Oryzias latipes: one gene and its partner. The protein of the gene in region 1 interacts with the protein of each later gene in a biochemical or structural test. Links are inferred from orthologs where the notes say so. Each region holds a gene or a part of one and is shown on either strand. Other genes may lie near its edges. The genes, in order: mapk8ip3 and mitogen-activated protein kinase 10.

Evidence for each region.
Region 2: the proteins of mapk8ip3 (region 1) and mitogen-activated protein kinase 10 form a complex in vitro, tested with the Homo sapiens proteins (3 studies listed by BioGRID, with this or other methods). The link is inferred for Oryzias latipes from reciprocal best matches to the Homo sapiens genes MAPK8IP3 and MAPK10.

Annotation. Positions count from the first base shown.
Region 1 is NC_019866.2:14,602,535-14,606,361, reverse strand, and holds part of mapk8ip3 (C-Jun-amino-terminal kinase-interacting protein 3), read right to left. Parts: intron 2,948-3,827; coding exon 2,716-2,947; intron 2,601-2,715; coding exon 2,510-2,600; intron 2,208-2,509; coding exon 2,089-2,207; intron 659-2,088; coding exon 647-658; intron 1-646.
Region 2 is NC_019870.2:10,343,415-10,347,241, forward strand, and holds part of mitogen-activated protein kinase 10, read right to left. Parts: intron 3,146-3,827; coding exon 3,021-3,145; intron 1,581-3,020; coding exon 1,517-1,580; intron 1,416-1,516; coding exon 1,338-1,415; coding exon of another isoform or gene 1,321-1,337; exon of another isoform or gene 1,308-1,320; intron 1-1,307. UniProt on the Homo sapiens protein: Serine/threonine-protein kinase involved in various processes such as neuronal proliferation, differentiation, migration and programmed cell death.

The DNA of each region.
Region 1 (3,827 bases):
TCAATCAGTCATAAACATGTAGAAAAATGCTACCTTTAGGATAAAACTTACATCCTTGGATACAAAAGTCTTTCAAAAATTGTCCAAAGAACAATGTCCAAGAAAACTTTAGGAAGCATAGGCTTTATTGTCTTTTCTGGATGATACACTTGTAGTTTACAAGTTTCAGGATCAGAATGAGTGACTAATAAACAGGTATATATATAACCCCCTGATGTCTGAATTCATTTCAAGCTATGAAATACTTTCATGTAGATGCTAAATTAAGATAATTTTGGAGCTGAAGTGGTTTGAGTCACATTTGCATCAATAGGCATCAATAGGGGGTAAAAAATCTAAAAAGAGGTGTATTTAAAGCATGATGCTGGTAAAACCTCTTTACCTTTTTATTGATTCTGTTTCTAATTTTTACAAATCTTGAAAGTGATTGACACATCTGGTTGCTTTTGAATTTTAAAGTATTAAACTCTTCATTGAACTATTTTTTTAATCAGGTTTACATTTTTCATACATTATTATAAAATGTAGTGTGTCTTTGTTTTCAGGTATTTTATAAATGGACTGTTTTCCTTCGGTTCGAAGAGAAGTAAAAGAGTAAAAGAGCTGAGGGAATAAAGAAAAGAATACCAATGCACAAGATACACACCTGAGAACTCCCCTATGGGTGTCACCGGCAGAAGCACATAAAAGGGAAAAAAGAAAAGAAATGGGTGAGAGGTTACCAGATGGACTGAAACCGGGTCAAATTTCCCTGTCTGCTCCATCTACGTAAAAAGTCAGGGATGGTATAACGAAGCTCAGAGCAACCTAAATTCAGAAACAGAAACTAAAATAAACAAAATTATTGGATCATTACAAACATAAAGCAAGAAAACAAATGTAGCCATGATGTGAAACTGCACTAAACGGACCATAAATGTTATAGTTATATGAAAAAAACCTTTTTAAAGTGTGAATCAAACTGCTGTAGAAATGTCATATCTGCTCCTCTAATCATGACTGTTTTTTTTTCTTGCATGACTTTGCAGTGATGCAGCCCTGCAGCCTTCCAGGCAAATAAAAAACAAGAGTGCAGTGAAGCATTCCCGAAGCCTCACATGAAGCTGTCTGCAGAAAAGGAAAAGCAAAAAGCTGCTTCTCAAATCAAATCAAATCAAACCTTATTTATAAAATAGCGCTTCTCATGCATTTTGTGCAGCTCGAAGCGCTTTAACATTAAAAACAGAACACACACAATATTACAGTAAAAACCCAACCCACCCTTTACCCTTCCCACTCCCCTCCGTTCAAACATATGACCCATGCCCCCCCCCCGTACAAAGAATAATGACTATGTAACTTTAGAAAAATAAATAAGTAAATAAATAAGCAAGCAAACAAACAAGTATGGCTTGGCTCTGCTGTGAGGAAACAGTATTTGGGAATCCTTTCATTCCAGGAGCCAGCTTGGCCATGGGAGCATCGCCACAGCACCCACCCAGACTGGGACAACACTGGGGTCCACGTCACAGCTGTGAAGCTGCAAAGTTAGACCCCAGCTGCCCCAGCAAGGGCAAGAACTGCAGCAACAACCACCGACCAAGCAGGCAAGCCCTGGAGGAAAAGATCCCCACAAGAAACACTGGGGCTAAAATCATGATAAGATACTAAAATTAGAGAGTTAAGATTTATATAAAAACATAAAATTGAGCATAAGATGCATAAAATGAAAATAAATACATAAAATAGCCTATACTAAAAGTAATAGAATAAAATATCAGTTAAAATCAACTTCTTCCTCTTTCGGCTTCTCCCATCAGGGGTCGCCACAGCGAACAAGTCGCATGGTAAACTTGGCAATGTTTTACGCCGGATGCCCTTCCTGACGCAACCTTCTCAAACCGGGCTTGGGACCGGCACAGAGGTAGAGAAGGGAAATCAGTTAAAATCAACTAAAAGCTAAATTAAAAACTGCAACACATGAATGCATCAGCCCTTATGCTCCACCACTTTGGCATGAAAAGTGTTTGAAATCACATGTCATATTTACACAAAATCATATTTTGAAGCTCATAAATGAGTTTGCCAGAGCCAAAGCCCTCCTCATACCCAGCAGTTCGGCGCCTGCATCCACATCCCCGATGATGTCCGATTTGGCGTCTTTGATCTCATGGTACAGGGAGTCAGTGTTGATGCCAAAAGCCTCGTTGACTATGCCCTGACAGGGACTGAAACACACAAAAATCTACTAATCTGCACTGCTGTTGTATCTTCCATCAAAATAAAAGTTTCTAGATTCTTCTAGTATTTGAAATGAATTAACATTTTTGGTCCTGATGGGAGCAAAAATCTACATTAGTGTTGAGGTTTTTTGAATAGGATAAAGGCAAAGCTTTTGGAGTTTGCAGAATCCATGATATTAACTTTGTTGTTATAATCTTAAGAAAATAATAATAATATATATAAAGATAGTAAAAGTGCTATAAAAGCTCTTAATGTACAAATAAAAAGACCACAACATAGTCCTAACCTGTTTCCTCCTCCATACACGGAGTGTTCCAGCTCTGGAGTGGAGTCAATGATTTCCTGAAACTCTGACCACTCGTCGCTGCTTCCCATACCTGGAATATCATAAATACATCACACAGCTTCCAATTTATGAAACATTTCAATAAATAATTAACAATGGAAGAGAAAAGCTCCATTTTCCTCTTATTTGGTTTAGCATTTGCTCACCAATGCTGACATTCCTGGTTTCCTGGGAAACCTGCACCTCCATGTTCCGACTTAAACGCTTGCCACTTTTCCTCCTGTTCCCAGCAGGCACCATGTCAAAATCAGACTGTAGCAGGAACCCTTCATTGATAGGGGTGACCGTGGCGGAGGGGACAGAGGAGGTGGGTGTGTTGGACTTGCTTCCTGTGCTGCTGGGTGTAGCTGCCACTGAGTCAGACTCAGATCCATCCTCCTTGATGAGTGGCGATGTGTGACACAAAGGGTAATAGATAAAAACCACAAAGAGAAAAGTGAGACCCAGACAAAGAAGCTGAGTATTTAGCTGCTGGTATGTTTGATATTTGACAATTTATCGTTTCATAATAAGTGGAAATTTAATTTGAGAGCACATCAAATGCAAAAAAGCTAGTGATTGGATTTATGGCTCTTTCTAGTGAGCCAAATCTTTTGTATCAGTTTCAAAGAGCCTTTCAAAAGACTGGCTTTTATAGTATTTATTCATTTTTTAGAAGTCTGCATGAAGTTTATTTGTTTAAACTTGGAAATAACCACAGGGAGGACTGATGGGCTTAGATCTGAATCAAAATAACTGAAATTTAGATTTTATTTAATGCAATTCTGTAATTTATGAACTCTGCTTCTGAACAGAAACTAGGTAATGCTGTGCAGCAAAAAGGTTAGAACATAAACCTACGCTTTTAAAGCATCAATACTTTCATTTTGATGTATAGAGAGGGCTTAACAGTTAAGCTCCTTGTTGAAAATGTTTCATATAAGACTTGGACATAAAAAGTGTTGAATGAAAGCTAAACCTTTTTTTACTATTTGATCTTAAAACTGACTGAGTAAAAAGTGTAATTAATAAAAATTAAAAATTATTTGTTATATGCTGAAGTCACTAACTGGGAGAAAAAAGGGTTTTGAATCTTTTAAGTCCTTTTTGATTCTTAAAATGATTTTTTAAAAATCATTGATATCTATTTACTTTTGTTTTCAAAATATCTTTATAAACTGCAAAATACAAATGTATGCTGTCATAAAATAAGTAAAAGCTTTAAAAATTGTAAGCACAAAAAAAGCAATAAATAATTCTACAAGTACCAAAAACTTTA
Region 2 (3,827 bases), on another chromosome or scaffold:
GTCATGAGCTTTGGGTCATGATCCAAAACGATAAGGTCCAAGATACCAGTGCATGGGTGCAGGGTGGCTCCCTTAAATATTGGGGCAAGGAATCCAGAAGATCCAGAAAAGTTTACTATCCACTTATTAAACCTGAGATTTCTCATAATTTGCATTATTTGATCATTGGTAGTCGTCCTCGCACAGGATGCAGTGGAACAAAAAGGGGAAAAGGACATTGAAATCTAGTCTCATCAGTCGCTAACAAAAGGTTAAATAGAGTTTTTGTGAAAATATTCTTTTTTTTTATAATGCATCAAGGCATTTTCATTTTTTCTTACATAAAAATGATGTGTTTTTTACGAGTATTTTTGCAGAACAACATGAATGTTAAGGTCTTCAGTGATACACTTTAACCAACTGTATTAATTTCATTAATTACAAAGTTTTTAGGACAGATTAAATGCAAAAAAACATCCAAATGCTGATGTTTTTTGTGTGTGTGTGTGTACAGTTCAGTGGAATATTTATCTCTTTAACTGACTAAACACAGAATCACAAAAGGCTTACATGCCAGGATCGGTGTTTCACTTTAATGGAATTGTGGGATGACTTGCAAAGACTCTAACAGCAGTGCAGATTTTCATAAAGTGAACGGGGATGGGCTCAATTTCAGAGCCCTTCTCCTTCTCTGCTGCAGTGAAATGCCCGTGTCTGCAACTCCTGCACTGCGTCTGATGTGCTCAGCCTCAGAAGCAAAAGTCCAGCCAGTCCTCTTATAGACAAGAGGATGGAAGGGTGGAAAAGGATAAAGGTTGTACGTTTTGGAAAGAAAAGAAGCATTCCAGACGATATGTCTATAAAAATTTTTTTCAAATGACAAGATTACATTTTTTTTTTTGCAGTATTGCTGTTCTGCTTTTTCCAATCCGTAGAGGAAGTCTGCCTGCTCTTTGTGGCTCTTTACTGCCCCCCTGCGGTAGATAAAGTGAACATCAGTTCTAAAAATTGTACAAATTTGTGGCTGTACCTCCTTTACATTGACCTTCACTGGAACTGCAGAACCCAAACCTTAAGTTATAACATATTTTAATCACATAGTGTCACAAATGAAACAAGTGCCATGAAATCCTCAGTGACAGGAAGTTGTTTGGTTGATTAACAGTTGCAAGTTTTTTAGTGTCAGTTTCACAAACACATCAAAGTACAGCCATTGAACTAAACGATATTTCACTAGAGATGCAGGACACACACACACGATCAAGAGCACAATGGGTTTCTCTATTTACAAGGGGAAACTCCAATAAGTTTATAGTAAATTCACTTACAGAGCGATTAGGCTTATGCACTGAGAGTACCTGAAGGTGAAGGCTGTCCCTTCACAACGCCATTCTTCGTTCTCTCCTCAAAGTTCATGACCTCTTTGTAGATTAGTTCTGACAAGGTGCACAGATTAAGGGGGATAGGTCAGAGAATTCACCCCCCAAAACAAAACAGTTCTGTTGGTTAGTAAAGTCTCGAAAACAACCATTCTCACCTTTCCATTCTTCAATGGAGTGTTCTCGCTCATCCAGCTGTTTGTCGTAGATCTGAGGAGGAGGCTAAAGAAGAGATAGAACAGTCCATTTTAGCATCAATGCAAGCTATCAAAACTAGGTACAAAATCATATTCAACACAAAAATGCACAAGGTTAGGTTGCTGTGCAACAGAACTTGAAGTTCAACAGTTGAAGAGCAAGAATAAAGCAGTATCTGAAGGCCAGGTGAACATAGCAATGTGTTTTTTTTTCCTTTTTGAAATTTGAAATTATTTGAAATAATGTGTTATGGTGTATGACTGAGTCTGAAAATATTTTTCTGGCACAAAAGACCACATATTCACAAGCAAGGTTATAAAGTAAACACCAAATCAACAGAAGAACGAACAGTTTAGCCCATAGCAGCATAATAGGAAACAATCTAAAAGAGAAGAGAAATTTATCGTATTCAATCCTAAATATTTGGATTGTATTAAACAACTTTCTTACATTTTTATATTTACTTACTTAGTTAAATGTCAAGGAAAAATGAAAGAAAATATGTTAACAGATGTATCTTTTGTCATTTAAAGCTTTTCACAGTCAGGAACAAATTGTTGTTAAAGTGCCTCAATCCTTCTTCCACATGATTTCATTGACCAGAGCACAGATATGTTGTCTGGCATCAACTCAATCTCTTTTATCTCTGTTTCATAATGATCCTGGCTCACATTCAGCCCAATGATCCTCCTCTCTTTTTCACTCAACCCACAAACTGAGCAGATACGACCTAGAAAAGTTCTTCTGAAAGAACTGAGTGGCTTTTTTTTTTTTTTTAAAGAATAAGTTAGCTATTATTCCCTTTACAAGCAGCCAGCAGAGATCAGACGCAAAAAAAAGGGTTTCTCCTCCTCTTATCTGCATATGCATTCAGCAATAAGGCAGTATTTATATACAACAGCAGTCAATTAACGATCTCATAATAAAACAAGATGTCCTTAAATGTCATATAAATTAGCAGAAATTAGCAGCGATCATTTATTTTAAGTAGAAAATTGCAGCCATAGTGAATTCTAGGAAGCAGTAAATGTCTGTAAATAAACAAAAACCTTATACCAAATTAGCTCAAATTATTACCCCTCCACCACCATGCTTGATTATTGGCCTAATTGGCATTTTACAAACGAAGTGGTGTTAAAGTTGTTTGTTTTGGATTTTAAGACTAAAGTTCAAATGACTTGCACTTCAAGGCCACCATTAAAGTAACACTAAAAAGACAGTTCCTTACAAGAAAATGCCAAAACGACATCACTGACTAAAGATAAATGTAAAATAAAAAAATTAAAAAGAACAAATAATACGATTGAAAAATATTTAAAGGGCCAGTCATCATTTTTGTCTACTTTTTAGTTTTTCCAGGAGACACTGATGGTTAATCTGCCCATGTTCTATAGATGTAGAGTGTCCTGACCAATCAATCACAGACAGAACTGAGCACCAACCACAGACAAACAGCTGACTCACCGCCTCCACTTCAGCCGGATCGTACCACACGTTGATGTAGGGGTGCTGTAAGGCCTCGTCCACTGATATTCGTTTAGCAGGGTCAATGATCAGCATCTTAGACAGCAGGTCTCTGGCCTGGCTGGCTGTGGGTGCAAATATAAACCAATGAAGCACAGTTGATATTCACCGCATTCAATGACATCAGGGAAAAATCAGCCTTTTGAACCCAGGAAACATTAAAGAACACTAATGAGGTGAATGATATTTTAGTACTCTCAGAGTATGATTTCAAAAATGGTCGTTACAAATAAACATCATAATCTGTTAATATTTTGTTAATTCCTGATAAAAATTAAAGCAAAAACTTGATTCTTTTTTTCTTTTTTTGACATTTAGTGTATTTTTCTAGTAACTATAAATAAATAAATAAATAATATATATATATATATATATATATATATATATATATATATATTTAGTTACTAGAAAAAACATTCACCTTTTTGCTTTTTTTTTATTTTATTTTTTACTTTTCTTCTTATTTTTTTATTATATGTGCCATTTTTGTGTTTTCTTTTAAACTGTTTCTGGGGTTGTTTTTATCGGATTGCTGTTTCACCATTGCTTTCAGTCTATTAGAAGCTTTTCCATCCTTTTATCAGGCACACTTTGGGTTTTTCGGATCTAAAAACTGCTTTAAACATAAACAGAGGCCTTCTCTCACACACACAGACCTTCATCAAAAATAGTTCCACAGCAGCTCAGGTGAAGGAGCTCAACAGAGAGCCTTTACAGGTACAAGAGTTGACGCAACCTGAGAGATTT